Danio rerio: one gene and its partners. The protein of the gene in region 4 binds, or shares a complex with, the protein of the main gene of each other region. Links are inferred from orthologs where the notes say so. Each region holds a gene or a part of one and is shown on either strand. Other genes may lie near its edges. The genes, in order: tmem107l, mks1, cc2d2a, ahi1 and tmem216.

Region 1 (6,990 bases), on a different chromosome or scaffold from region 4:
GTTCAAAACATTAATTTAGGTCAGATGCCCAAAGTAGGGCCCAAGGAGCCAAAGTTGTAACCATTGATTTAGCCCACTATCCCATCTGAGAAGAGAGTGAGAATGATATAGAGGGAAGGGGCGAACACCTTTGAAAGAGACCATCATTTCTAGTTTGACATTTTCTTTAATTGTTTGTTTTATTGCTGAGATACAAAAAGAATACTGAAAGGAAATGTTTCAATTAATTATTTTAAATGAGTCTGATTTTTTTTATGTAAATACTGTCACTCGATAGATAGAGGACTACGCAGAAGACAGCGGTCAGCAAACCAAGGCAAAAACTAGTGTAAATCAAGTTGGGTTTTTGGCCCTTGGTAAGAAAACATTTGGGCACCCCTGCTTTAGGTAGCCTATATAAGAACACCTAAAGTACAGAAATATAATTTATTTATTATTATATATACATACAGTTGAAGTCATAATTATTAGCCCCCCTTTTTTTTCTTTTTTTTTAAATATTTCCCAAATGATGTTTAACAGAGCAAGGAAATTGGAGAAAGTCTTATTTGTTTTATTTTGGCTAGAATAAAAGCAGTTTTTAATTTTTTAAAACCCAATTTTGGGACAAAATTATTAGCCCCTTTAAGCTAATTTTTTTTTCGATAGTTTACAGAACAAACCATCATTATACAATGACTTGCCTAATTACCTTACCCTGCCTATTTCACTTTATTAACCTAGTTAAGCCTTTAAATGTTACTTTAAACTGTACAGAAGTGTCTTGAAAAATATCAAGTAAAATATTATTTATTCTCATCATGACAAAGATAATATAAATCAGTTATTAGAAATAGGTTTCTAAAACTATTGTATAGAAATGTGCTAAAACTATTTATATATATATATATATATATATATATATATATATATATATATATATATATATATATATATATATATATATATATATATATATATATATATATATATATATATAAATATATATATATATATTAAACAATTCTTTTCTTCATGGTTTTGTATCTAAGGTGTGCCAACCTTGTTTGTTGGGTTTCAGATTTATTAAAAATATATCACACCCTGCAAATAAAATGGCAAATGTTGTCACCACAATGTAAAAAAAAAAGTCTTCCTAAAACTGTCTATTCTCAATTTCTTAACTCTAAGGTTAATATTTTACTGCCTTCCAGAACAGCAAATGCCCTTGATAGCAAACCACTGAGTTAGTATTTATTTATTATTTACTAGACCAACGACGTCTGGCTGTAGGCTACAGTAAAAACTAATGATTCATTTATTTGTTGATTTGTGAATGCTGAAAACCTGCAACCATTGACATCCATATAGGAAAAACAAATGCTATGGAAGTTACAGGTTTCCAACTTTCTTTAAAGTATTGCCTTTATCGCTTAACAGAAGAAAGAAACTCACAAAGATTTACAACCACTTGAATAAACAGCAAACACGTTTTTATATTTGGGTGAGCTATCCTTTTAACTTATAGGGCTCTTATTACACACGTTTTATGCACTTACTATAATACCAATAAATTATGCATAATCACATGCAAAAACCCATAACCATAGTAAGTACTCCATATCGTTAATTAATGCCACTCAGTACTTTATGCTATAGATACACTGTAAAAATGAGACCGTAAAACAAAAAACAACTTAGTTTGTTTAAATGCATTTCATTTCGAGATTAGCACTGTCGCTTCACAGCAAGAAGGTTGCTGGTTCGAGTCCCGGCTGACATTTCTGCAGATGCTTTTTTCCCTGTGTTTGCTTGGGTTTCCTCCGGGTACTCCGGTTTCCCCCACAGTCCAAGGACATGTGCTATAGGTGAATTGAATAAACTAAATTGGCCATAGTATATGAGTTTGAATGAGTGTGTATGGATTTTCCCAGTGCTGGGTTGCAGCTGGAAGGGCATCCGCTGTGTAAAACATATGCTGGATAAGTTGGCAGTTCATTCCGCTGTGTCGACCACTGATAAATAAAGAGACTAAGCTGAAGGAAAATGAATGACTGAATAAAAGGCTTGTTTAAGACACCTCGAACACCTTGATAGTGCTCCCTATTGACCACAATAATGAAGTCTTTGAAATAAATTTTTTCCAATTGTCTTACTACTTGTCTGCGCTGCCATGTTCCAGTTCACCATTTTCAAGTTATTTCACCTTTAGTACCTGCTCTCAGCCGAAGGAAAATGAATGAATGAACATTTTGAGACATTGTAAAACCAAGTTGAGGACCAGTCAGAAAGCGACTCCTTCCAGCAGGTGACAGCATTGAGCTACTTGTTGGTCTGTTTTGACCATAACCCATTCGCCAAATAGAAGAAGAGTGTTGTCGTAGCAACCCGAAGCTTATATCGAGCGATAACTGTCCTCAAGCTTGATAAACTTATACGCATAGTAGCCTTATATACAGTGCTATATCTACTTTACTGCTCACCATTTGAAAAATCAGGTTTTAACAACTAACGCAAAGCTGGTACGTATACCATTTTGATATACAACCTCACGTTTTGTGAAGATGAACACGTTAAACCTTTAACTGTTAGTCATCCACTTGCACAGTTCAATCTAAGTTATTATGTCTTTCTTCTCTGTCTAGTGTTCAATGTCGGTGGTCAGCAGTCTGGTGCCTGCCCGTTTCCTCACTCTCATCGCGCACCTTGTAATAGTGATAATCATTTTCTGGTCTCGGGTAAGAAGTGTTCTTGTGTGTGTAATTGTTATTTTTATATCACACAACATCACTGCAGCCAGCTGTGTGTTTAAATGTGGAATGACCTACAGGAGTACAGTGTCCGAGCCTGTCTACCACTCGACTACACTAATGAAGAGTACACAGCAGAGGACACACGGTTGGGAAACACACTTTCTCTGTTCTGTATTGCTTCACAGTGGCTAAATGATAATATAATTATTTCGGTCATGTAGTGAGACTGAATAGTATTTTTTGATTCAACTTTATTGTCATTATACATGTACAAGGCAACAAAATGCAGTTGGGGTATACCTAGGAATGCGATAGCATCAAGTGCATGATATATGCACAGTGCTCAGCAAATGAGTACACCCCTTTGAAACAAAACAGATTTATTAAACAGATATATTTATTCAAATAATATTTTAGTCATCAAACATATTTAGAAATTGAAAGATATTACAATTACATTCAAGCAAAATAATCCAAAAAAGAAAAGAAATTACAACCTGCAAGATTTCAACTAAAATAGTCTTTTTTTTTTTCATTCCGCAATACAGAATGTATTTTAATTGTTAATTAAATGTACCTTTTAATTTATGAAACAAAATACTTTAAAATCTTTTGATGGCTTTTCTTGTTTGACCCATTTACAGCATATTATTGTTTGACTGATAGTAAATTGTACATTATTTATATGTAGATGTGAATAATGTTATGGAGTCAGATATAGTAAGTCCTGTTCATGACGCTGTCCTAACCATTGTTTTTGGAATACAGGCTTGTGGTGGCATTATCCGTGACTCTTGGCCTGTTAGCCATCGAGTTGGTTGGGTTTCTCTGTGGAATCTCTATGTTCAACAACAACCAAGCTCTTCTGTGTATCCTTACCAGTAGCACATCACCACTATAGGTTATATATATACTGTAGGTGTTGATGCATATAAATTGTGTATTATTTTCTTATATTTTCATGGATCGGAGTCAAATCTTCAACTTATGATTAACGCAAACAGCTCCCATATGTGTGTCTAGTACTAGTTTCTTACACATCTCATCCAAAGTCTTCTGTTTTGTTCAGATTTTTGACAGTAAATTACCTGAAGTCATGGGTCGTAAAAAATTATATGGAGCTGTAATGTGGTCAAGACCTACCTGGTATATAAAGTCAATCTAGGGCCATATATACAGTTGAAGTCAGAATTATTAGCCCTTTTGAATTATTACCCCCCTGTTTATTTTTTCCCCAATTTCTTTTAACGGAAAGTAGATTTTTTTCAACACATTTCTGAACATAATAGTTTTAATAACTTATTTCTAATAACTGATTTATTTTAGCTTTGCCATAATGACAGTAAATAATATTTGACTAGATATTTTTTAAGACACTTCTATACAGCTTAAAGTGACATTTAAAGGCTTAACTAGGTTAACTGGTTTAACTAGGCAGGATAGGGTAATTAGGCAAGTTATTGTATAACCATGGTTTGTTCTGTAGACTATCGAAACAATATATAGCTTAAAGAGCAATAATTTTGACCTTAAAATGGTGTTTAAAAAAAAAAATGCTTTTATCCTAACCGAAATAAAACAAATAAGACTTTCTCCAGAAGAAAAAACCCTTTTGGAAAAATAATAATTCAAAGGGGGGCTAATAATTCGGACTTCAACTGTACGTGCAAAATAAAATAAAACTTTGCAAACAACAAATAAAGTATTGAGCAAAAAATAAATAAATGTAAATGAAAAAAATAAAAAATACATTTTGCTAACAAAAATAAAGAACTGCAAAGGGGAAAATTGAGAAATAAAAATGAAATTTAAACAAAAAAGGAACTGCAAATAAACATCAAGCAGTAAAAAAACAAAACAAAAAGATTTGCAATAATCAAAAAAAAACTATATATATTTGCAAAACATTTTTATAGCATTGCTTTTACAAAACCTGCCCGGTCAGTTGCAATTGTCATTTTAATTAGATTTTAGTCAACTGTGAGTTTGTGATGCTGTTTTCACTTTGTACTTCACGTTTCTGCGCCTTTCACTTTGTGGCCCTGATTTGACAAGGGGACTGAGTCAAGGGAACTTAGAGGTTTACCTAAGGCCTGCCGTAAACGCCCAAGTTCCCTTGACTCCACCCCTTTGTCAAATCAAAATGAGCATTGCAGTTGACTGGATGGGTTAGGTCAAGGCTAAAAATGTTTTGCAAATATTTATATATTTTTTTTTTCAGTTCTTTTTTTGTTTGCAAATGTAATTTTTATTTTTCAAAAATAAATTTTCCTTTGAATTTTTAAATTTTTGTTAGCAAAAACTATTTTTATTTCTGAAAAACAAGTTTTTGCTTGGGCGAGGCAGTGGCGCAGTAGGTAGTGCTGTCGCCTCACAGCAAGAAGGTCGCTGGGTCGCTGGTTCGAACCTCGGCTCAGTTGGTGTTTCTGTGTGGAGTTTGCATGTTTTCCCTGCCTTCGCGTGGGTGCTCCGGTTTCCCCCACAGTCCAAAGGCATGTGGTACATGTGAATTGGGTAGACTAAATTGTCCGTAGTGAGTGAGTGTGTGAATGTGTGTGTGGATGTTTCACAAAGATGGGTTGTGGCTGGAAGTTGGCGGTTCATTCTGCTATGGCAACCCTGGATTAAAAAGGGACTAAGCCGACAAGAAAAAGAATGAATAATTAAAGCTTTTGCTTTGCGATTTTTAGAGATTTGCATTTATTTTTTGCTCAATACTTTCAATTTTGTTTTAAAAATGTTCTTTTATTTTGCAAGTATATGGCCCTAGATTGACTCCACAACTTTAGCCATATGGTTTCCTTGAAAAAACAAAAGTTTAACAATTAACATAGCCTCGTATTATAAAACCTAACAAAGATATCTTTACTATTGCTTTCCAAAACTAAAAGCAGTACAAATCAATACAATTAGACAGACATGATAGACAATCCCAGTGGTAGAATGGCAGCAAAAGTCTGGTTTGTTAACAATAAAGGCATCATGATACAGGCACAGAATTTTATTTAACCGTCACTTTTCAGCTATTGGATGTCACAGCAGTGGCTCTGTGGCTTTGCTTTTCTTCATGTTTGAGCAATGGACCTGCAGCATTTACTGGTGGATCTTTTCCTTCTGCAGGTCAGTCGTTTAATGATTAACAGTCAAAGCATAACTTTAACTGTGAATGCCCTTTTCAATGAATTCGCTTTAACTTTGGTGTATTTGAAACATGTTTTCTTTCTCTATTTCAGTGTGATTCCAGCATTATATGAGATGGTCATTGTTGTTGTGGTGTTTGGATGTAAGAGAAAGCCTTTGTGAGTGTATCTGCCCTTTTGCTTTAGGAGAGTTGGATGTTTTCTTTCCATGACCGATGTACCAGAATAGCATTCACTCACTGGCACAATAAACTCCTGTTTTTCCACAACGCTTCTCTGGAGAGTTGCTGAATTGTTATGGGTGAGGGCTTAAAAGGATAGTTCAACCAAAAATAAAAATTCTGCCGTCATTTACTCACCCTTGTCTTGCTATAAACTCGTTTTAGTTCTTTGAACACAAAAGAAAATATTTTAAAGAAGATTGGAAACCTGTAATCATTGTCAACCATAGTTGGATAAACAAATATTATTGAATTTCATGGTTACAGGTTCATACAGGTTTCGAACAAGTTAGGATGTGTAATTGATGGCAGAATTGTTATTTTTTGGGTGAACTATCTCTTTACAAGTCAAGCTATTGAACTTTTATAAATACAGATATTTTTATAATGTTGAAAATATGTTAAACCTCTTGTGATGATTAAAGGCATTTTGTATTTTACAGTTTTTCTCCATTGGTTTGGCTTAATTCTGGACACAGAAATTCTCAACACTCTAAGGTCAGATTTGGCAAAACATAGTTCAGCACAACACTATAGCTCACTTGCAAAAGCACATATCTTTCCCAAAAATGATATTCAGCTTACAGTGCTGTGAAAAAAGCTGAACATACTGTTTGATTGGTCATCTGAGATGTGTTAAACTCCTCTGTCAAGTTCTAGTTACACCTGACTGTCAATTGCTGTAACAAATGAAAGGATGCTGACATGTTTTAGAGAGAACAACCTTTACACTGAGAATCAACATTCAGTTTAGATCAACTAGATCTATTCACTTAGGAATTGTGCTAAATGTAGGCTACCTGTACTTAATCATTTGGAAAGATATACTTAGGCATCGAGACATGTACTTAGACATTTGCAATTGAATGAAATGAATAAGAAAATCAATTCAATTGT
Region 2 (6,272 bases), on a different chromosome or scaffold from region 4:
AGTGGAAACGCGAACATGAGCTCTGCATGCTGTCTGAATTTCCTGCATGCGTCGGGTAAATTTGACAATTCCCAGTTCATGTGCGGCGATGGTACTCCTGCTGAATCCATTTTAAAATTTAATTTTTCTTCTGACACCATGTCTTGTTCTGCGTTTAGTTTTATTTGTTGCAATGGGCATGCAGTACTTAAATGAGAAGACAGACAGGGAGTACCAACAACTTCCAATTTTAATCCACAACGTGTTTCCGTATTACAGGTTAACCATCACTAGTTAACTCCTCTACTAGTTGTAAATTAGCGTCAAATATTCAGTGCTTACGTGATTATTACACAGCATCGATAATATAGATTTTTTTAGTAAATAGAGCTATTCCACCTATCCTGCTTTATTGAGGTGAAGTTGGTTTTATATTCATGCGCCCCCTATATAGAAATAACATTGTACTCTAAATATTCAGTCTGAAATAGCGTGCGTATGGTTTAGTAATAATTGTAATTCCTGAATGCCGCTGGCAAACCACTAAGCATACAGTAGTCGCTTTAGGACAAAGCGTGTGAGTGAGTAAGACCAGCGATCCTTGCATATATGAAATATTTGCTTGCTACACAACAGAAAATGTGCTAGATATAATACAGTTTTTCATTCAGAATTGTAGTATTATAAAGTACTATAAAGTTTTCTAACTGGCGAATGACATGATCTAGTGGGTCTCTTTCATCTTTAATGTGCGAGTTCACAATTGCAGAAGGCGTGGCTTTGTATGGCAGGGGAGGGATTGTGTTTGGAAGATATAATACTAACCTGTTAGCATTTAGGTAGATCACCTACTGCACCTTTAAGCCACCCTGTGGCCCCGTTGAAGAAATTAGTCTAAGGTGAAACTCTTTTTCTTTAGCAATCAAACATACAATTTTTGTATGTCAATCAACAACCTATAAGATACCATCAGTTGCCAAGATAGGATGAAAAACATGCAAGACTTGCAACATGATGCAATAGTGCGGTGATACACAATTCATTTTATATAAAGTCAGGTAACACTTTATAATAACTATCCATTACAACTAGTTAATAGGCCATTAATAAACTGTTAGTTAATGGGTTATAAATGACTCGTTAAATAAAAGTTAATAGTTTGTTAATTATTTATAACTGTGCCTTATACATAGCCAATAGATAATTTACAATCTGTTAGCTAAAAAGTTATAAATGACTTGTTAACTGTATTTTAATGATTTATAACTATACCTAATAAAATAGTAATAGATCATGAACAAGCTGTTAGTAAATCACTTACTACAGACTTGTTAGGTATCAGTTAATAGTTTGTATATGTTATTGAGACATTATTCTAAAGTTGCAGCTATTCTTTATTTATTAACTGTTAGTAAATGAGGAATAGTTGCAACATTAGAATAACGTCCCAATAACATACTTAAGCTAATAACTAACACTTAACTAATATAATAAATCTCACTCTTCAGATCAATTGTTGAGATTCTTTACCATCTAATAACAACAGTGAAACTTCTGTCAAACTTTTCTAATAAAATATTTATTTATTTATTTTGTTTTCATGTTTAGCACAAAAAGTGCCCAAACCTTATGGGTTTGTATTCTGTTCTATACTGTTGTTATGCCATGTGATGGCTCAGTATGTGTGTTTCTATACATTAAACACAATGTTCAACATTTCATCTGTGGAGTTTCTTTGGTAAATTACAGCACACAGAAAAGCCTATGAGCGGAACAAGGTTACGGTACAAAAATGTTATATTTTAAACATCACATGAAATTTCTGTAGCTTCAACTTGTTCCATCCATTTGCTGTCAATGGTATTTGTAGATGGTTAAATTATGAACAACTGATCTGTAAAGTGAGAGTTAATATATTGGTTAAGTGTTAGTTATTAGCTTAGGTATGTTATTGGGAAGTTATTCTAAAGTTGCAACTATTCCTCATTTACTAACAGTTAATAAATGAAGAAGAGCTGCAACTTAAGAAAAACAACCCAATAACAAATAAAAACTATTAACTGATACTTAACAAGTCTTTAGTAAGTGATTTACTAACAGCTTGTTCATGATCTAATACAATTTTATTAGGTATAGTTATAAATCATTAAAATACACTTAACAAGTCATTTATAACTTGTTAACTAACAGCTTGTAAAATATCTATTGGCTATCTATAAGGCACAGTTATAAACAATTAACAAACTATTAACTTTTATTTAATAAGGCATTTATAACCCATTAACTAATAGTTAACAATGATCTGTTAACTAGTTATAATGGATAGTTATACTAAAGTGTTACCCCTAGAGAAACAGTATATAAAAATGACGTAACAGGGGTGTGGCTTTTTTTTCTACTGCGAGCTAAATGAATGTAGTAAAGTAGGTGTTTTATTCAGAAAGATTGGGAAAAGGGTTTGGGGAGAGTTATTACAACAGACTCCTCCTGCTTACTATTTCTGTTTGTTGTCAAAGCTGACAACTGGAGCAGCAGGGTTAAATATGTTAGCCACACTCAATTACTAAAATAGAAGTAATCTGACAATTTTTTTACAGACTTCAAATCAAATATTAGAAGGGCAATTTTTTTTTAATGACATGCAGAGATGTGAGCTAACAAAATCATATGGTTAATTTTGATTTAGTGGGAACTTTGAAAGCAATATTGACCCCAATTTAAGTTATTTAGATCTTTCTTACCCAAAACATTATAGACAGAGCCTTGCTGACTGTGGCCCCCCAACTGATCCAGAACAGTCTGTCTTCTCTTCTTCAGTGTGCTGGCATCAATAAAAGCCCTGAATATAGTACCAGAAGCTCTTATTCAATCTTAAAGAGACAATACAGTCATGCAAGATTCGCTGATGCTGTTGGCTGACCTGGCATGCTGGATACAATTAAGAGTAAAGGTCACACTTCCAGTGGTCTGAGTGCGAAAGCCAAAGCGACTCAATCTCTCTCCCTAAAGGCAGTAGATTAGAACATTCAATTGTTTAACTGAATTACTAAACATGCCATTACACAAATTTCACAGCAGAAAATGTATAATGATTGACCTTAAAAGTGCCAGGTATTCTGACGTAACTGATGTCCTCGAGTTCAGGAGCTCCACCAATGAAGAAGCGTCTCAGTTCTGCCACTGTGCCACGCTGGACTGCTCTCCATGTGCGGCAGGTCATTCTATGACGCCCTGAGAGCACAATAAAGCCACCACTGAACAAGCTGATATTCATTTTCTTTATTTTACAAATTAGATCTTTAGTTTAGATTTGTAAAACTGGAACCAAACGTGACAATAGCACATCCTTGTAATGATTAATTGATAAACCACAATATTAAACTGAATGAATAAATGATACAGTTCCATGGAAAACCCATTAGCCATTTAATTTGGATAGATTTTATACTCTAGGATAAAAGCAACATTTCAGATCTGACATAAAACTTATTTAATCAACAAATGCAATGCAATTTAAATTATAACAAAAACAAAGAGATGAAAAAATTTGGGCACTTCAACAGAATAATGAAATTAATATTTTGTAGAGCCACCTTTGGCTGAAAAAACAGCCTGTAAACGCTTCTTATAGCCAATGATAAGTCCCTAAAGTGTTGCTGGAAGCATTTTGGGGCATTCTTCCTTGTAAAATGTCTCCAGAACATCCAGGTTTGATAGGTGCCGAACATGAACAGCCTTTTTCAAATCAATCTAGATTTTCGATGATATTCAAGTCTGGGAACTGAGAAGTCTATTATAGAACACTGCATCGCGTCTGAGCATGAATTCCTTGGTAGATCTGGAACTGTGTTTCTGGTTATTGTCCTGCTGAAACATCCAATCCTACCGTAACTTTAGCTTCTTGACTGATTCTTGAACATTGTTCTTAAAAATCTGCTGATAGTGGGTGGCAATCATGCCACCTTCAACTTCAACCTTCAACGAGAAGGTTTCCAGTACCTGTGCCTGCCACACATCCACACAGAATGATGGACCCTCCACCAATTTTACCGTAGGGAGCAGGTTCTTCTCCTGGCATACTGTGTTTTTTTTTCCACCATGCCAAGCGTCCATGATTGTAGCATCTGTCCACTGTATATTTATACAAAACGATTCAGGCCAGTCTAGATGAGCCTTTGCATACCTCATATGACTGTGAATGACTGAGATGAACCGTGAAACGATGTACAGTGACATTAGCAGCAGTAAGACATTCCTGGAAATCTTTGGAGGTGATCTGTGGTTTGTTTGTGACCGTTCTAACTATTCTTTGCCTTTGAGATAATTTTCTTGGCCTACCCCATCTTTCCTTCACAAGATCTGTTCCTGTGGCCTTCCATTTACTTACTATATTTCTGACTGTGGAGACGTTAACACTTTTTGATAGCTTTTTGCATACTTCTCCTAAATCATGTCGAATTGTCTTAATTTTTAGGTCATTAGGAAGTTCTTTTGAGGTTCCTATGTTGCTTCTTTGTAGTTCCCAATAAGGAGAAGCACAACTAGCAATCAGCTATTTTAAATATCCTTTTTCATGATTGGCTGCATCTGTATTAGGATTGTCACTCAAATCAATTTTGTGTTGTAATCAATCAGCATTAAGTGACTTCAGGTTTTAAAATTCGCACAAAAGAGAGGGTGTCCTAACTTTTGCATAGTCTATTTTTCAGTTTCAATTAAATTTCATGCGTCTCAATACTGCTACACTACATATTTCTGTCTGAAAAACATGACATCATGTAGCTTTCTCTAGAAGCCAAATGGAAACCGATCTTCTCTTATAAAGAAAGAGCACATTACTATGCAGCCACAGAGGGGTGCCCAAACTTTTGCATACAATTGTAAATGCAAATTGCAAATTAGGACATTATTGTTATAGCACATTACAATTCTCAGAAAAATCTGTCCAACTTAGTGTTGAGGAAAAAAACTGTACTGAATAAAATTCACTGTAAATTATGTGAAAATAATTTTGATTATGTCAATCGTTCCTGTTTTGTCTTTGGTTATGACTCCTACTAGATTAATTTGAACTTAACTCCAATATACTGGCTAATGTTTACAGAGCCAATATGGAAAAAATGATAAAAAGCATAACAAAACAAAACACTCTCCTACCTGATGTTGAAGGGATGACCAAATAGCCATAGCCCTCAGTTCTAAAGCGCTGCCAGAAATCCAGTGAGAGAACTTTAAAATACAGCACTGGCCACTGTGGTAATGACCCTGCACACAACATCACAATGGACTGACATGTTAACCTTCAGGATTAAAATGTAATTTATGTAAAGTATCTTTGGATATCGCCATTATGAGGCATCTCACCATCAGACTCATCCTCTTTATGGAAGAAGGTCTCAAAGCTGAATGGATAGGAGAAGAAAGCGACATCTTCCTATAAAACAGTAAACATGCTTACCACAGTTCCAAACACACTGATGAAGTTTACTAAAATGACAACTCACCTTTTCTATACTGCGTGTGCGACATGTCTGAGTCACACCAGACAGACAATGAGAGGAAACACTGGACCAATCTGAAGAACATGAACCAACATTAACACCATGAAAAGTCAGAGAAAATGTATCAAACACTAATAAAATAACTAGCATTAGGCCAGTTAAGCTACACTTAAAAATGTCTTAATGTCAGGTCATTTAACAATCAAAATATGCCTTATTTTGAACTAGAGCCAATGACATTTCACTTATATCGCAGCCGTATCTGACAGCTTATGGCAGCTATGGTTCAACCATTTCTCATTCTTTCATGTAACTTAAAAAATGACCCTCTGTGTAGAATTCAGCCATTGTGCTTTTGTGTCTCAACATCAGAAAATAATGTATGGCAACTGTAGCAATTTGTACCAGTGGAAAGCATGTTTATGCTGTCCAAATAGACAATGCTGTATAAAGTGCACCATTATATATATATTATATATATTATATATATATATATATATATATATATATATATATATATATATATATATATATATATATATATATATATATATATATATAAATACACACAGTTGAAGTCAGAATTATTAGCCCCCTTTTAAATTTTTTTTCTCTTTTACAGTTTTTCAAAGTCACTTTGGTGCGTTTCTCACAACACCAGTGCATTTTTGCACAACAGTTAATGCATTTTTCAAAACAATTAGTACAAACTGCAAAACCTAGCTGATAACCTGCAAAAGCGCGTCACATGCTCAAAATGGATAGTTCATTCCTCAAACGCAAGTATTCATG
Region 3 (6,272 bases), on a different chromosome or scaffold from region 4:
CGGTGTGGTCTTCTGCTGCTGTAGCCCATCCGCCTCAAGGTTGGACATTTTGTGTGTTCAGAGATGCTCTTCTGCAGAGCTCGGTTGTAATGAGTGCTTATTTGAGTTACTGCTGCCTTTCTATCAGCTGGAACCAGTCTGGCCATTCTCCTCTGACCTCTGGCATCAACAAGGCATTTGCGCCCACAGAACTGCCGCTCACTGGATATTTCCTCTTTGTCGGACCGTTTTCTGTAAACCCTAGAGATGGTTGTGCGTGAAAATCCCAGTATATGAGCAGTTTCTGAAATACTCAGATCAGACCATCTGGCACCAAAACCATGCCTCGTTCAGTCACTTTAATCCCCTTTCTTCCTCATTCTGATGCTCACTTTGAACTGCAGCAGATCGTCTTGACCATGTCTACGTGCCTAAATGCATTGAGTTGCTGCCTTGTGATTGGCTAATTAGAAATTTGCATTAACGAGCAGTTGGACAGGTGTACCTAATAAAGTGTCCGGTGAGTCTATAATGCACAGTTATTGACAATAACGTTTAGGTGTCAAGTTGTAAAGTTGAAGTAAACACTTTTAAACTATAATAAACCAGACAAATGGGTTGAACCTAACTTAGTGGTTCTAAAGGATAGTGGCAAAGTATAGTTAAAGGTTTAAGTTTGGGGTCGAACTGTATTCTTATATAGTTATTTAATATGCCATAAAGTGAGTCATTTTCTGAACATGCCTGACAAGATTTCATGCAGTGTAAATTGTTGTTACTCTCAATGACTAGTGCTGTCTTCTGTATGTCATAGTTAAAATGTACTAATGTCATTGTTTCAGTAGAAAAAGTAAATAAAAAAAACTATTTTGAAGGTACAGTTAACACAAAAAAATGACATTTTCTCTTCCTTTACTTGTTTGAAACCTGTATAAGTTTCTTCTGTTGATATACTGAAGAATCAACAGCCATTAACCTCTATTGTATATGTTTTATTTCTACTATGGATGTCATTGGCTGCTATTCCCCCATCATTCTTTTGAATATCTTCTTTTGTGTACAACAGAAGAAAGAAACTCATAAAAGTTTGTAATGTCTTGACTGTGTGTAAAGGAAGAGGAAATGTTCATTTTCGGGTGAACTGTTCCTTTAAATGGACATAGTGTAATCTTTAAAACGTGCATTTCCCCTCTTGTAAAGGTCCCATGAAGTGCTTTAATAATTGTATTTGATTTTTGACGTAATCTCAACTTAAACATGAAAATAGAACGGGACATAGAGTAGCTCCTCCCCTTTAAAAAACAGCCAATAGCGTTTTCTTTTTGTCACAGCTCTGCTAGTGTGAGTGGTTGAGCTCAAGCGCATTAAACGAACACAAAATGAGAAGCGTCTTGAAGGGGGCGGGGCATGTCAGATACTAGAGAGCATTTGATTGGTCAGAAGATTTAATGAATAACTGAAGTTTGAGTTAACATACAAAAACATAGTTGATCTATATGGGCAAAAGTGACTGCAAGCTTGGGATGTTTATATCAGTGTTATATTTAAATGCAAATTTTATCATCGTTTTGGAGCACACTATCTAATAAACATTCTTAAAAAAAAAAAGGCTGAAACTAACATCTAAAAATGTTATTTTAATTTCATGGGGCCTTTAACTTTGATCCATGTGTGTATTTCAAAGCTGCTCAACATGTTTGTTGTATTAGCCGTTAGCTTTACACGAGTGCTTGGGTTAAAGCACTGAGCACCTGCATGAACTGCTGTATGTACGTCTGCTGATCTGCTGTAGGCTTTGGTTCCGTCAGACTGGGACGTGTCTAAGGAGAATGAACACACTGCGGTGGAGGTTGGTTCTCTGCTCACCCTTTCTACTTCCTGCAGTGCACTAACACATTCATGCTAGCCTTTGCTTTGGTGTGGATTCTGTCCTGATTTTCAGCGAATGAGCCTTTCATGTAGCTAGTAGCCTTAGTGGCTGCGTCCAAAATACCCTATTACTCGAGTAGGTACTACATTTAAATTTGAATTCACGTAACAACCACTAGAATAGTATGAACTATGTAGTATGAATGTAATTTGAATGTACTGCATCTCGGCTGGCGTCATGGGACAGCGTAGTATCCTTTGCATGTGCACTACAGAGGCTGCATCAGAAATTGCATACCTCCCTAGTACTATATTGTATGTAAAAGTGTACATGAGCCAAGTAGTATGTCCGAATTCATTGTATTGGAAAAACAGTACGTGAAAAATCCCTGGGTAAGCTAGTTCTTTTGGAGAGCTTCTGAAGTGCACATCCAATGGATACTAAGCTATCCCATGATGGCACCTCACACAGGTAAGAGGGCTTGACAAACCAGTTGTAGAAAACATGCTGTTTGACACTTTGACACTCGCTTTTGCACATTTACACCAGACACATTCCTACAATCACAATCCACAATCCATATCTCTAAACAAAAAACAAAGCAGAACAAACACTAGTTATGGTGTGATTCACACAGGTGAGTGGGCTAGACAGACCACCTGCATCTTCTCACTCTCCTCCTTAGCACTTACTCTCTGAGCACTAACAGTTCATATGTATAATCAGCACTTGTTGTGTGTATTGCCTCTTCTTGTTGAATCACTGAATGCCTCCTCAATTCTAAGTCACTTTGGACAAAAGCATCTGCTAAATGCAAATGTATTGTGAGATCTTAAGAAGACCTAAAACAAACTTGTGTTTATATATCTTAAAATGATTTTGTTTAAATATTTTGCAGATGTATTTTGATAGACTAATTAACCAATTATGACCCGCTTTTTCAATTATTTTCACTTGGACTTTTTCTTTTGTTCTCCTAAAATAACATTATCTAATTTTTATGCATTTAACTTTTAAGAAAAACTGTGCATAAACACAAAGGAAACAGCTAAATTAAAACTTAAAGGAATAGTTCACTTTAAAATGAACATTTCCTCACAATATACTCTATAAGCCTGTTTGAGATTCTTTACTGAAGAATTCTGGGAAAAAAGGCAGCCCATAGTAGGAATTAAAAAAAAAACTATGAAAGTAGACGTCTCCTTTTTGTGTTCAACAGAATGAAGAAACTCAAACAGGTTTGGAAGAAGTAAAGGGTGAGTTAATGATGACAGAATTTTTATTTTAGGGTGAACTATCCTTTTAATTTTACTGAATTGCATTACTATCAGATTATACGAGCTTATTCTTTATGACGTTTTCACTACAAACCTACAAAAATGTCACAGAGTATAGATATATAAAAATATATACATAAATATACATAAAAATAACATTTAAGGAGGTTTTTGTATGTATATTTATACCGTAAGGTTCTTCACTATGATATTTTAGGACATGGCTGGTGGAAAAGAGGACCCTGGTGAGACACTCAGACACTCATTGATGGCCAGGAGAATGAAGAAAAAGAAGAAGGTTTGCACTATGCTCACTTTATCAACTGACAGTATATGATTGCCAATATAACATGATTTCATTAATATTATTATTATTATTATTATTATAAATAATTAATTTTTATTGTTGATATATTAATTAATGGGTAGGAAAAGTTAATACGTATTAATAATGTAGTCAATACGAGCTGATTGGTTGTAGTAAAGTAGGCATTTCATGATGGGGAAGAGTTATTACAGAGTTATGGGGAGTTTGGGGAGAGTTATTACAACCTAACAGACTCCTCCTGCTCACCATTTCTGTTTGTTGTCTAAACTGACAGCTAGAGGGGCGTGTTTAAGTGTGTTAGCCCCGCCCACCGCCTCAGACAGACCTAATCTAAGAATTTAACTGGCAATAAACAAGAAGAGCATTTGCAGATTTCTATTAAAGATTACAAGTTTATTCTTACTGACATGCACAGATTAATTGTCACCACGAAACTAGAAATGGAAGCTAACAAAATCAAAATGTTTAGTTTTGATTTCATGTGTACTTTAAAATGTTAATAAAAACATCAGACCACTCAGAGATTGATCTTAAATCACTCCAGGCTTCCTATCAGTTTGATTGTTCTCTATTTCTCCAGCTGCTGAAGGAGAGTGCGGTGGAGTGTATTGCTGATGACGAGGAGCTGACAGCAGTGCCGGACACCAGAGGAGCAGACGGACAACACGCTAGAACTCCAACAGAGCTATCGCCAAGAGGTCAGACAATAGAACCACAACAGAACCAATAGAACCACAACAGATTGCAGACTTCACTATCAGGGTGTCTTAACCCTAGTCAACCAGAGTAGACCGCTGTTAAGTCCAGCTCCAGAATGGCCAATGTGAAGTTGTGAAGCAAACTATTGGCAAGTAAAAACAAAAATACGGGCACTGCATTCAAAAACTGTGTTTAGTGAAAGCGAAACAGTAAACAACTTTAACAAAGAATGTTTATTTTTTCCTATTTAATCGATTTTTTTTAAAGGGCACATATTTTACCCCTTTTACAAGATATAAGATAAGCCTTTGCTGTCTCTAGAATGTGTCTGTAAAGTTTCAGCTCAAAACACCCATCAGATTATTTATTATATCCTCCAGAATCTGCCCGTTTTGGTGTCTGAATACCTTGTAGCTGTAAAACAAAGAGAAAGCTAAAGAAAGTTTTGGCACTTTCAACTGTTCACTTCATCAATGCATTTGGCTGAGGGTGACAGTGGGGCTATAGCAGGGCCGGAGTGGGACTCATTTTCAGCCCTGGAGTTTCAAGCCAAACCGGCCCACCTCAGTTCACGACTGGTTCCAATTCAGTTTCTAATTTCACTATCACGTCTTTTTCAAGAAAACTGCTGCTTTAAAAATTCAAATGTTCAACAACCCTAACAGTATAATATGTCTTTACAATAAAAATGAAGAAAAAAAAATAATTTTACAGGTGAGACTCGAACACGGGTCCGCAGCGTTGAAACGCAACGTGCTTTCCTGGACCACAATGGCGCTATAACTGTGGCAATAAAAAATAAGTAATGACTTGTGACCCTTAAGACACAGCAGTACTTTCTTTTGATAGCTCAATCTTTTTTTCCCCTTTTTAGATTTCTGATCAAGTTATGTCAGAATTATAAATGTAGTGAATCATCTGATTTTCATTGGGCAGGTGTATTATTCATTAATAATAATTATTAGAATTCTTATATTTACTAAGGTGCCGCGGTTTGGGGTCGATAGTTACATTACATCATCATCATTAACGTTAGTTAACCTGCAGGCTGCATTTTGCTCACAGGGCTGCGAGAAAATAAATTAAAAAAGCAGCGCTGCAGCAAAATAATGAATAAAAAGAGTAAAGCTATGGTCAAATAAACAAATAGATGAAAAAAGTCTGACTGCTGAGAGTGCAAGCAGCTAGGGACACCGGCCCTCACGGCCAAAAAACAGACCGGCCCACCGGGAATTCTCTCGGTCCTCCCGATTAGCCAATCCGGGCCTGGGCTATAGTTATTAGGCAGTAAGGCTATGTAGATCTGAGTGTCATCAGCAAAAATATACATTGATAAATTAGAAGAACACTCCAAAAAATGAACTCCTGTTCAACCTTTGCATGCTCCCTCTGAGCCAAATAATGAGAAAGAACCAAATCTCCTACCACAGCTATGCTGATGACACTCAGATCTACCTAGCCTTACTGCCTAATGACTACAGCCCCATTGACACCTTCTGCCAATGCATTGATGAAATTAACAATTGAATGTGCCAAAACTTTCTTCAGTTAAACAAAGAGAAAACTGAAGTCATTGCGTTTGAGAACAGAGATGAGGTTCTCAAGGTAAATGCGTACCTTGGCACTGAAGGTCAAACGACAAAAAATAAGGTCAATAATCTTGGTGTGACTCTGGAGTCAGATCTGAGTTTCAATAGTCATGTCAAAGCAGTCAGTAAATCAGCATACTATCATCTCAAAAACATAGCAAGAATCAGATGCTTTGTTTCTAGTGAAGATTTAGAGAAACTTGTTCATGCTTTTATCAGCAGCAGGTTGGATTACTGTAATGGACTCCTCACTGGTCTTCCTAAAAAGACAGTCAGACAGTTGCAGCTCATCCAGAACGCTGCAGCCAGAATTCTGACCAGAACCAGAAAATCAGAGCACATCACACCTGTCCTCAGGTCTCTACACTGGCTGCCAGTTACATTCAGAATAGATTTTAAAGTATTATTACTGATCTATAAATCACTAAATGGCCTAGGACCTCAATACATTACAGATATGCTGACTGAATACAAACCCAACAGATCACTCAGATCATTAGGATCATATAAACTAGAAGTTCTAAGAGTTC
Region 4 (6,272 bases):
AATTTAAAAGTGTGAGAGTGTGTAATCTTAAAGTTACATTTTACCAAGTCAGTAAATGTGTGATTCCTTGTGTTTTTTTTTTTTCATTGCACTTTTGTCAGTTTATTCAATGTTCATGAACATACAAATAAAGCCTTTGATACACAAAAAGTAGAAAAGGGAATACAGGGAATCTAGTCATGTCAGGCAGTAGTCAATGAGGAGTCAAAGGAGGTCATTAACACAGTGCCAAAGATGTGTCCATATCTGCTAAAAGTCACTTGACTTCTAATCTGAATCGTTAGTAGGTTTCTTAAATAGAAGTAGTGTAAATATTTAAGACATCCACATTATGCAAGAAGGTTGATGCCCATAATAACAAACTGCATTTCTTTGCCGGATAAACTAAATTGAAAAACAGATGTTTATCATGAGAATTAAACATGAAATGATCTCTCCATTCCAACAGATAACCAAAAAAAATAATGGGAGATTAAAAAGGAAAAATATTTGTGGAGAAATGTTTCCTTGTGGGGTTTTTAACAATGATTACTACTTTTGTGTTTAAAAGATGTCTAATAGATGTCTAAATAAAAGCGTCTTTGCTAAAACAAGGCTATATTTGGGCTCTGTGCGAGTAAAAATCTAGTATAATAGCCAAAACTAGACTAGTCATCAAATACACTTCAATAAATAATTACACACACCAAGTGAGTATAATAAGTCTATTTGATCTCATTTTGGCCTATTCTTGAACATTTATTATTTATTTTCACTGACAGCCCAAATTTAGCCTTGTTTTAGCCAAAACATCCAAGCTAGATGTCTATTAGACGTCTATTGAACACAAAATTGCTTGGTGCGCAGCGTTTTAAAATATATTAATATAGTGTATTTCAACCCTCAGTTGATTTTTTTTAAAGGGACAGTTCACATAAGACATCATTTACTAATCCTCCACCTGAGCTTTGAGTTAGAGCTCTGCATTCCCGCGGCTGTCCTGCGGGCGCCGCAGGACCCGACCAGATTTCTACGGCGCGGGTATAAATTTCAGAATATATCACGGGAGCGGTCGGTAATGGGTTTAATTTGGGACTGGAGCGGGCTGTCTAGCAATATTCGCTCCCGACTCCCGAGTGAGCACGCGTATGTATGTGTGTAAATGAAATAGCGCGATGCTGTGTTTAGCTTGTTTGTTGCTGTGTGTGTGTGTGTGTGTGTGTGTGTGTGTGTGTGTGTGTGTGTGTGTATATGTATGCACACGCGCGAATGAGAGGTGTGTGTGTGTGCGTGCGTGCGTGCGTGCGTGCGTGCGTGCGTGCGTGCGTGCGTGCGTGTGTGCTTGGTGCTTATGTGTGTGTGTTAGTGGGCGCGCGCGCGAATGAGAGAGAGAAAGCTTTGTTTCTGTGTGTGTGCTTGGTGCTGTGCGTGTGTGTGTTTATACAGACAGCTTGTTATAGGCTGTCTGGACTGTATAACTGGGTGATTTTCGGTTTTGTTTTCCCCCCGCTCTTTAGCGGCATCGGGCGCAGCGGATAGAAAACGGGGCGGGGCGGGCAGCGAGACAACAAGTGCTTAATATAAGCGGGAGCGGGAGCGGGAGCGGTCGGGTTCGGGCTAAAACCTGGCGGATGCGGGCGGGAGCGGGATTCAAAATTTAGTCCCGCGCAGATCTCTACTTTGAGTTTCTTCTGTCTGTTAAACACTGTTATGATGAGAGAGAAAAACAGCCATCAACCTCTAGTATTTTTGTTTCTACTACACTGCAAAAAATGCTTTTCTTAGATTTTTTGTCTTATTTCTAGTCCAAATATCTAAAAGTTCTTATATCAAGAAGAATTTTCAAGGCAAGCAAAACATATTGTCTTGTTTTCAGAAATAATATGCCAATATTAAATGAGTTTTTCCTTAAAACAAGCAAAATAATCTAGTTTTTCCTTTTGACATAAGATTATTTTGCTTACTTTATTGGCAGATTATTTAAATTTTGGCATATTATATCTTAAAATAGGACAGTATGTTTTACTTGTCTAGAAAAATATGCTTGATTAAAGAGTTTTTAGATATTTGGACCAGAAATAAGACAAAAAATCTAAGTAAGAAAAGCATTTTTGCAGTGTATGAATGTCAATGGTTTCCAACATTCTTTAAAATATTTAGTTTTGTGTTCAACAGAAGATAGAAACTCATAAACGTTTACATTTGAACCAGTTGAGTGAGAGTAAATAGTCAGGAAATGTTCATCTTTTAAATGAATATTTAACTTCCATGCATTAATTGAAAACTGTTACCCTCTCAATGCTCCACTGACTGGTTGCTCCACGGCGAGACCCAGGCATAACTTTCGTTCCCCACACAATGATGAGTCCGGAATTATCAGCAGAAAACATTCTGCTCCCTGTGTAAAGACCAACACATCACTATAGTCTCATATCACAGCTTTAACATCCATTCAGTTATTAAACCACCAATTTCCTCTGTACCTTCAGGGTCAAAACACAGAGTGTTGATGAAAGTCTTGTGTCCGTCAAACTCTTGCAAAAGTTGACCATTCACATCTTGTACATCTACGTTCCAGACTCGCAGCACGCCATCGTAACCCCCCGTCGCCACCAGACTCTGGGCTTGAGGGTGGAACTTGGCACAGTACACGAATGAAGGGTGCGGAAGAGTTTTATGCGCAAGAGTCTGCAGACGTTCAACATTCCACACTCTGAAAGGGAAAAACATTGATATGTAATTATGAGGTACATATTATAATGAGGTGGTATTATGATCTTTTAAAACTGTCAAATGTTTTTACCTCACTGTTCCATCAGAGGATGCAGTTAACAGGCCTTTATCATCTCTGGACCAGCAGAGATCATAAACCACACTCAGATGGCCATTAAAAGATGACAGAACTTTCCCAGATGGAATCTCATATACTAAAAGTACAGACCAACACAACAAAAACATTAGGTGCATTACAAATTGCATACTTATGCACAATTCTAAGCTATTTTGTAGTATAAATCAGTGTTTCTCAACTGGTGGGTCACACCCAAAAGTCGCGGGAACATTTTTAGTGGGTCGCAGAGTGTGTGGTAAAAAAAAACAATTGTTGTGGGAACAACCGTACCGTTTGACATGTGAAATTTCATTTAATTATAGCAACAAATATATCGAAGCGCAAGTACGACCCCGAACATGTCAAGTATGGATTTACATATATGGACGACAAAAAAGGCTCAGTGTGCCATGTGTAGTGAGGAGCTCTCACAAGAGCACTTTTAGAAACCAAACATTTGTCGTTTTTACTGTGTAATATTTTCTGTAATTTAAATTTTTTATATTGTTAAATTACAATAATAAAATAGTGTTTATTTGTTAATCTTGGGGATTTTCTTATCATTTATCTGTCACTACTTGTATATGTTAACAAATAAATACAAATTAATTATAATTCCCAAAATTATATTTTAGTTCCTAAAATTTTGGGTCGAGATTTGATGACCATGTAAAAATGTGGGTCCCATGGCCAAACCAGTTGAAAACCACCGGTATAAATAGTGCACTAAAAGAATAAGTGCACTTTAAATACCTGGATAAAAGACTTATTCAACCGTTAAACAGAAGTGTGAAATGTTGAATACTTCAAGCACTCAACGGTCACATTGCAGAAGGGGAGGAGCTATTAGGCACTAAGGTTGGATTTCATTATTTATTTTGGATTGTGCAAGCAAAATTCTCCTATGTAAGTGATTACATTCCCAATGGTGAATGCTGTTATACTCATGACTGGTACTATTTGGTAGTTTGATCATTTGTTTCACTATTTGGCAGCTGTTAAACGTTGTCTGGGAAATGGTTTGTATTTCTGTCTAGTAAAAACATTAGTGTCTATTTAGAACGACACTAAACCCATTTCTACACTACATGGTTGAGTGTATAAGTCCATAGTGTGCCAATTGAAGTGCAACTATTGTAAATATGGTATGTTCAGAGCAATTGTTAACTGTAATGATTAGTTGACACCGGTCCAACTGCTCGTTAACGCAAATTTCTAATCAGCCAATCACATAGTAGCAACTCAATGCATTTAGGCATGTAGACATGATCAAGCTGATCGGCTGCAGTTCAAACTGAGCATTAGAATGGGGAGGAAAGGTGATTTAAGTGACTTTGAACGTGGCATGGTTGTTGGTGCCAGATGGGCTGGTCTGAAACTAATGATGGAGAAATGAAGCTTTCTGAACCAGTGAAGCGCTCGACTCAAATGTATCGGAAAAAGGTTTGTTACACGAAGCTTTCTAAATCAGAGCTGGATGAGGACCTCTGCTGGTTAAAGTGTAGGAAAGCACTGTTTTGTAATAATGTCAAATGTTCACAACTGACCAACTCATTCATGTAGTAATACAATAACAGTAATATAAACAAATTACTCAATTACTGTAGTTTTTTACACATAAGGTATTTTACATTACACCACCGATGACTGTAGTAAAATCCCAGGTATTCAAAAGCATTTACACTTCTCATATTTCAACTAGTCTTATTCCAAGCGGGGATCAAACCAGCGGTTCCTGCATGGTAGGCGAATGCTCTAAGGAGGAAGCTAGAAGAGGGATGCATTCAGGCTGCACTCGCCAGCTGGTCTCCATTAAACAGTATACTACGATATGCAGGGGTTTTCTTTAAAGGGCCATGAAACCCCCTCGTTTCAGCAGTGTGTTTTCACACCTCTACTTTGGAAAAAGTCAGAAAAGTGGGCGTGTCCAGCTCTGTTTAGGGGGGAGTGTCGGAGGAAGAAAAGCGGCTTGGTGTGGGAGTGTCTATTTGGGCACGCTGAATTTCAGAGTCAAAACACACACCCACAGCAGACAATGTGACTGTGTTTACATGGACATCTGTAGTCGAATTATTTGCCAAATTATTAAATGGTGGACTTTAACTGCAGTTTGGCTCTTTCATTCAGGGAATTCATTAATGTCCCTCCCGACAAACGAGATATTTGATTCGAGGAACAGCTCTAAGCGTGTATTTTTCATGCAATGTTTGATACTGCACGGCGAATGAGAGAAAAAAAAACTCAGCATTTCCCGGAAACTTAGATGCACTCGGCAGGTAGTGTCAGAAAGCCGTGTGTGTTATTCCGGTCACAAAATCCAACACGAGGTTATAGTTTGGTTGTAACTGTTAGTGCTAACTATTGCACTCGGTGCAATAGTTTGTTTGATACGAATAAAATACGAACTGAATAAACAAAGAGCACTGGTCGCTCACTTACCAAATCTGTAGAGACAGGACAATCACCAGCAACTAGAGCCGCGTCTTTATTTAGAGAAGACTACAATCTCAGCGTTTGCAGATGAGAACAGCTCTCAGGTAAATAATAATCCTCCTTAGACACGTAAGTTGTTGTCGCGCGTCGCGTACACTGTTAATCCACATGTGAGTCTGCGCTCTCACAGAGAGAAAATGAAAACGAAACTTAACTGCAGCAAACTATAAAAGCAACACTTCACGCTTGTTTTGCCAACACAACGTGGCGTCTTTGCCGTCTACACTGTGACAGTAATGAATATTAATGAAGTTGCACAATAGAGCGCGCTGATTGGTTTGAACCAAGCCTTACTCATGCATTAATGCATCACACTGTAAGACGTAATAAGACTCACTCTGGCACAGACGCCCAGTCTGCACGCTGGAATACACGCTATTATGTCATGACCGTGACGCAGCTTCAAAAATTCGTTTCAAACAGGAAGTACGAATTTGCTTGAAATAACGCAAAAACAACCAATTTACACTTTTTAGTGAAATATAGGTGTCTTAATAGTGTTTTTAGCAGTGTGGTACACATATACGACTGTCAACAGCTCAAAAAATGTGTTTTGGTGTTTCGTGACCCTTTAAAGAACATTGTAAACAATACGCTAATACACTTCAGTGTGGTTCAAAACATTTTTTACTATAAATTACTATTGTATTATAGTTTAATTACTGGTGTGTGGGACCGGTACAGTACTTTAAAACTGTAGAAATGTATGTAATCAACTCCAAATCTCTCGCTATACACTTTACTAACACATTAGGGTGTTTAAACCTTTGAATCAAAATTCGAAGCAGTCACGTGGGTATAGGCGAAAATGAAGCTTCGGACGTCACTGATCACGTGATGATGGCAAAACGAATCAAGCTCCAGTACACTGCAAGATGCATCGTTTTTTTGATACATGCTTCAAAGCCTCGGTGCACAACGTCACATTACTATCAGAAACTGCTGATCTACTGGGATTTTAACGCATAAC
Region 5 (5,168 bases), on a different chromosome or scaffold from region 4:
CTGAGAAACACTGAGGGATTAATAGAGATTGTTTTAAAGAGGCGTCTGAGTGTGCTCATAATCCTGTGTCCAATTGTAATTAGGATTATGACATTTACCTGAGAGCAGTCGCAGCTAGAATACATAAGCGTTTGTTGACGCAATTAGAACATCTGGAAAATGAGCCATTTTAGGCCATATGGCGGCTATGTAATGCTTTAATTTTGTTGTAGCTTGTTATGTATATTCATGTAAGCTTTGCAAAGGTACAAAGCTAAGTCTCCAACAAAAGGGATTTCTTCTTCAAATAAATTCGGATGTATGCCAAGCTTGGGTCAAAGCTTTAAGATTCTGTGCATGGTATACTGTATCTTTTCCCAATATTCAGATTAATGGCTTTTTAAAACCAAAATAATGTCACTGTTTCCAAAAAATATATAATGAGTACAATTGTTGCTCAACAATGACAAAGAGATCTTCTTGAAAGTAATTATATAAACAGATGTTTTAAAATGTTAATAATATTAATTACTATTAATAATAAGTACTACAGTACTTCTGATTAACTAAAGTAGCCTTTGTTAATATGAGTCTCCTTTAAAAACATTCAATAATTGTATCCCAAATTTTTGATTGTGTGTGTGTGTGTTTGTGTGGTGTAACAAATGAATGACAAATCTGTTTCAATTTACTATTTAATAATGGCTATATTTCTATTTACATAAATACATTTACACTGTATACAATATCTACATAATAAAGGTACTTGTCAGCTTTATGTTTAATTGTAATTCTTGACAGTTCTCTATTCGAAAGGCTGCTGCTTATCCTTGTTATTGAGTGTTCATGTTTTCAGAAGATGGATTTAATAGATGTTGGCCCTGAAAGAAAAATCTGCATTTTAATATTGTTTATTTTACACAGCAAGTCGGTTACTGAATATCCACAAATATGTTCTATTAAGTTTCTAAATAAGTTTTCTCTCTCTCACACACACACACACACACACACACACACACACACACACACACACACACACACACACACAAACACACAAACACACACACATACACACACACACGCACGCACGCATGCACGCACGCACGCACGCACGCACGCAAATCCCAACTCTCCCAGGAAACTATATCCATTTAACATTTTCTAAATACTTAATTCCAAGTAATTTATGAGCCATTTTCCTCATGGGGCCCCCCCAAAAAATACTGGAATGTACTGGAATTGCTATATTACTTTGCTATATTTACTTTTGTATTTTTGATTAAATAAGCGCAGCCTTGGTGATCAGGATAAGCTTATTTTAAAACATTAAAAAAATACTGCCGACTCTCGGTATATTCATTCCATAGATATCATTATAATGTGTGTGTCTCCTAATGCTGAAACTATGGAATAAATATGCACAAAAAAACAACAGCTACCTGGAAAAAATTGAGATTGTCATCACTCCCAGAACCAGCTCGAAGCCATAAAAGCAGAGGAGCACAGCATTGAGGACAAACTCAAGGCGTAAAACGAAGGTCTGAAGCAGCAGGTAGTAAACACTCAACACTGCACATGGCACCAGAATAGCAACACTCACAAACAGAGCCAAAGAACGCTGACACAGGTTCCCCTTCCAGCCTGAAAGACAGATTTTACACACTATCACTACATTTGCAACATGGGGCAATGCACTTTCATCAATTACAACAGTACACAACAAAGAGGGCAGTTATCTCTATTATAATTCATTCATTCATTCATTTTCTTGCCGGCTTAGTCCAAGCGGAATGAACCGCCAACTTATCCAGAAAGTTTTTACACAGCGGATACCCTTCCAGCCGCAACCCATCTCTGGGAAATCTATTATAATTCTTTTTCTACAATCATGCACTTGTGAACACAGCAGGGTTAAACTCTATTAAGAGCTGAACAGAGAATGCGTATTAAAATCCAGTTCAGTCTAAGATTTAAAAATTGTATTTCAAGTGATATTAAACATTAGACAGGATATAAAATTGTAATTCAAATACAGAGTGTTATAAATGAGTGCTTAATTCTACACTGTAAAACCCAACAATCAACTTTATCAAATGAAATGAGTATAGCTAATTTAATTCTACTGACTTGAAAAGAGTTTTGATCTCAGTGTTGAAGGTAATGAGTTATTAAAATACCTTATTACTTCAACTTAAATGGAGTAGGTTCACAGTACTCATATAGATTACTAGTTTTTTTGTAATCGGTTTCCTCAAATGGTTTAAGTTGCCTTAACTTATTGGGTTTAACAGTAGTCAGTTGGTTTGAGTTCTCTTCATTTAATGGGTTTTACTGTGCTCAAATTGCTTCATTTACTAAAATGGATTATGTTCACAGTACTCATTAGGATTTTCTTTTAACTTAAATGGTTTGTTGCAATCGGTTTCCTCAAACAGTTTGAGTTACCTTAACTTTTTGGATTTAGAACTTATACGAACACATATACACACATATTTGGTTTGCTAATGGATTATTTGAACATAATGGATATTTATAATGAATTTAAAAAACTGCATGTGCTAAACAGAACTTTAAAAAATAAAGTTTGAAGCTGCTGTTTATGTATTAACAGGTTATTTGTGAAAACTTGTGTTTTTTGGGATTTTTTGATGAATAGACAAATAAGTAAAATAAATAAAAAAAAATGTATTTTTTGTAAAAATCTAATATTTTATATCACTTTAAACAATTCAGTGGATCCATGCTGATAATAATATTATTGCATCATAAAATAATTGCATTATTGTATCCCTGTCTTGTTAACAGTGACATTCAGTTGAAGTCAGAATTATTAAACCCCCTTTGAATTTTTTTTTTTTTATATATTTCCTAACTGATGTTTAACAGAGCAAAAAAAATTTCTTTTTTTAAAAAATTATTTTCAAAAAATATTCTTTCTTTTGGAGAAAGACTTATTTGTTTTATTTTGGCTAGAATAAAAACAGTTTTAAATTTTTTTTAATACAATTTTAGAGACAAAATTATTAGCCCCTTTAAGCTACATTTTTTTCCAATAGTCTACAGAACAAACCATCATTATACAATAATTTGCCTAATTACCCTATCCTCCCTAGTTAAACTAAAATGAACCTAGTTAAGCCTTTAAATGTCACTTTAAGCTGTATAGAAATGTATTGAAAAATATCCTAGTAAAATATTATTTACTGTCATCATGGCAAAGATTAAAATAAATCAGTTATTAGAGATGAGTTATTAAAACTATTAAGAAACGTGTTGAAAATTCTTCTCTCTATTAAAAAGAAATTGGGGAAAAATTAAACAGGGGGTCTAATAATTCAGGGGGGCTAATAATTCTGACTTCAACTGAATGTCTAATTAGGAAATAGTTAACAGTTAAAACAGTTAAAGTAGTTCTTTTGCAGCACAGTTTTTTTTAAGTTTATTTAAAATGGGAAGTTTCACTATATTGCTATTTTGTCATGTTTCAAAATAAAACTGTAAATGAAAGTGCCTGTGAAGGCGTACTGTAACAGCAGTGTCAAGAATATACATTTCTAATTCTTTCATTTATAATATTTTTCCTTATAGACACAGTAAGTCACAACAGACCATGATTATTTTGCAACAGATTTGAAGACTAATTCATCTGTTGTGGATTCCATTCTATTGCTTTAACCTGGAATAAAGTAAATTGCTTTTGTATTAAAACAGAAGCAATGGAGGTCAACAGTCATGTCCTGGAATTAAAAACCCCAATCATTTTATCCACAGGGAAATCAATTTTAAACAAAAGCTTATGAACCTTTGAAGACAGACCATTTATGAGCTCCGAGGTTGTTAATTGATTGTGTATGCTTCTGCTAAATCCATCTGTTCCCGTTAGCTCAACTTATTTATAAACAATTTTGTCTAATAGTGGAGAGTGATGCTGTACAGACAAATCTAACAATAAAATAGGTGAAATGGGCTAAACATGTCAGTGAAGTTAATTTAATTTTTAAAATACTAAATTTATATATTTATTTTTTTGCATATTTTAAAATGAAGTGAAACTATATTGTTTTTACAAATGATTTTTGAACATTTGATTTGAGTTATTTCTCTCAATAAAGCCATTACATGCACAGTATCAAAACATCTCTTTTATTTTGTTTATACTTATTTCCTTTGAATCAAAGTTGTAATATTATGTGTCGCCTGATAGCTGGTTGGATTGGGTTAAACCTTAGAGAACCAAACATAATGTTAAAAAAGCGTTTGCTATTTCTGCACAGAATTGGTAAAAATAGGTAAATATAATTCCATGGAATTATATTGAGATTATAGGTACCGAAAACTTTCATTAATTTATTTTCTTGTCGGCTTAGTTCCTTTATTAATCCGGGGTCGCCACAGCGGAATGAACCGCCAACTTATCCAGAAAGTTTTTACGCAGCGGATGCCCTTCCAGCCGCAACCCATCCCTGGGAAACACACAAACACTCATACACTACGGACAATTTAGCCTACTCAATTGACCTGTACCGCATGTCTTTGGACTGTGGGGGAAACCGGAGCACCCGGAGGAAACCCACGGGAAGGCAGGGAGAACATGCAAACTACACACAGAAACGCCAACTGAGCCGAGGCTCGAACCAGCGACCCAGCGACCTTCTTGCTGTGAGGCGGCAGCACTACCTACTGCGCCACTGCCTCGCCCTGTGTTGAAAACTTAACAAGTAAAGTTCAATATCTTAACTTTAAGATTTACAATGCGAATGCAATTAGAAGTACTCATTTTGTAAACAAAGCATGGCTGCAGCAATAAATCAACGTATTGTGGATTGATTCTTAGACTTTGAAATGGATCACTATTCAGTCTAGAATGGAATCTGATTTTTGAACAGCAGATGGCGCTTTAATCATACACTGAGCATGAAGATGAGCTATTGTGCTTCAGTCTTAATATAATATGGGATTAATATAAACACTGCTCACTATGAACACTAATTTATCTAAACATTTTCTTAAAATTATTAACTTTATTAATGATTCTTTTATGTTCAAATGGTTTGTGTAAGGATTGGAACAGTGTGGTTGTTTGGAAAGCATATAGAACCTTTTCGATAGAGAATCGATTTACAGGAGAATCGCAATGCATTCAGGAAATTTCTGAATCGATCCAAGAATCATTTCTTGATTCACAGTGC

The links.
Region 1: ahi1 (region 4) and tmem107l share a complex: the UniProt entries of both Homo sapiens proteins name them as parts of the tectonic-like complex. The link is inferred for Danio rerio from reciprocal best matches to the Homo sapiens genes AHI1 and TMEM107.
Region 2: ahi1 (region 4) and mks1 share a complex: the UniProt entries of both Homo sapiens proteins name them as parts of the tectonic-like complex. The link is inferred for Danio rerio from reciprocal best matches to the Homo sapiens genes AHI1 and MKS1.
Region 3: ahi1 (region 4) and cc2d2a share a complex: the UniProt entries of both Homo sapiens proteins name them as parts of the tectonic-like complex. The link is inferred for Danio rerio from reciprocal best matches to the Homo sapiens genes AHI1 and CC2D2A.
Region 5: ahi1 (region 4) and tmem216 share a complex: the UniProt entries of both Homo sapiens proteins name them as parts of the tectonic-like complex. The link is inferred for Danio rerio from reciprocal best matches to the Homo sapiens genes AHI1 and TMEM216.

The regions. Positions count from the first base shown.
Region 1 is NC_133198.1:31,417,398-31,424,387, reverse strand, and holds tmem107l (transmembrane protein 107 like), read left to right. Parts: upstream 1-2,344; 5' UTR 2,345-2,501; intron 2,502-2,624; 5' UTR 2,625-2,630; coding exon 2,631-2,717; intron 2,718-2,809; coding exon 2,810-2,877; intron 2,878-3,500; coding exon 3,501-3,601; intron 3,602-5,755; coding exon 5,756-5,852; intron 5,853-5,965; coding exon 5,966-6,035; 3' UTR 6,036-6,141; downstream 6,142-6,990. UniProt on the Homo sapiens protein: Plays a role in cilia formation and embryonic patterning. Requires for normal Sonic hedgehog (Shh) signaling in the neural tube and acts in combination with GLI2 and GLI3 to pattern ventral and intermediate neuronal cell types.
Region 2 is NC_133180.1:61,427,391-61,433,662, forward strand, and holds part of mks1 (tectonic-like complex member MKS1), read right to left. Parts: intron 5,555-6,272; coding exon 5,484-5,554; intron 5,414-5,483; coding exon 5,344-5,413; intron 5,245-5,343; coding exon 5,137-5,244; intron 3,211-5,136; coding exon 3,077-3,210; intron 2,983-3,076; coding exon 2,900-2,982; intron 2,819-2,899; coding exon 2,721-2,818; intron 1-2,720. UniProt on the Homo sapiens protein: Component of the tectonic-like complex, a complex localized at the transition zone of primary cilia and acting as a barrier that prevents diffusion of transmembrane proteins between the cilia and plasma membranes.
Region 3 is NC_133198.1:2,300,404-2,306,675, forward strand, and holds part of cc2d2a (coiled-coil and C2 domain-containing protein 2A), read left to right. Parts: intron 1-1,688; exon of another isoform or gene 1,689-1,771; coding exon 1,772-1,828; intron 1,829-3,343; coding exon 3,344-3,424; intron 3,425-3,998; coding exon 3,999-4,152; intron 4,153-6,272. UniProt on the Homo sapiens protein: Component of the tectonic-like complex, a complex localized at the transition zone of primary cilia and acting as a barrier that prevents diffusion of transmembrane proteins between the cilia and plasma membranes.
Region 4 is NC_133192.1:9,393,365-9,399,636, forward strand, and holds part of ahi1 (jouberin), read right to left. Parts: intron 2,907-6,272; coding exon 2,783-2,906; intron 2,693-2,782; coding exon 2,463-2,692; intron 2,378-2,462; coding exon 2,271-2,377; intron 1-2,270. UniProt on the Homo sapiens protein: Involved in vesicle trafficking and required for ciliogenesis, formation of primary non-motile cilium, and recruitment of RAB8A to the basal body of primary cilium.
Region 5 is NC_133189.1:29,306,747-29,311,914, forward strand, and holds the end of tmem216 (transmembrane protein 216), read right to left. Parts: intron 1,621-5,168; coding exon 1,419-1,620; intron 861-1,418; coding exon 845-860; 3' UTR 661-844; downstream 1-660. UniProt on the Homo sapiens protein: Part of the tectonic-like complex which is required for tissue-specific ciliogenesis and may regulate ciliary membrane composition.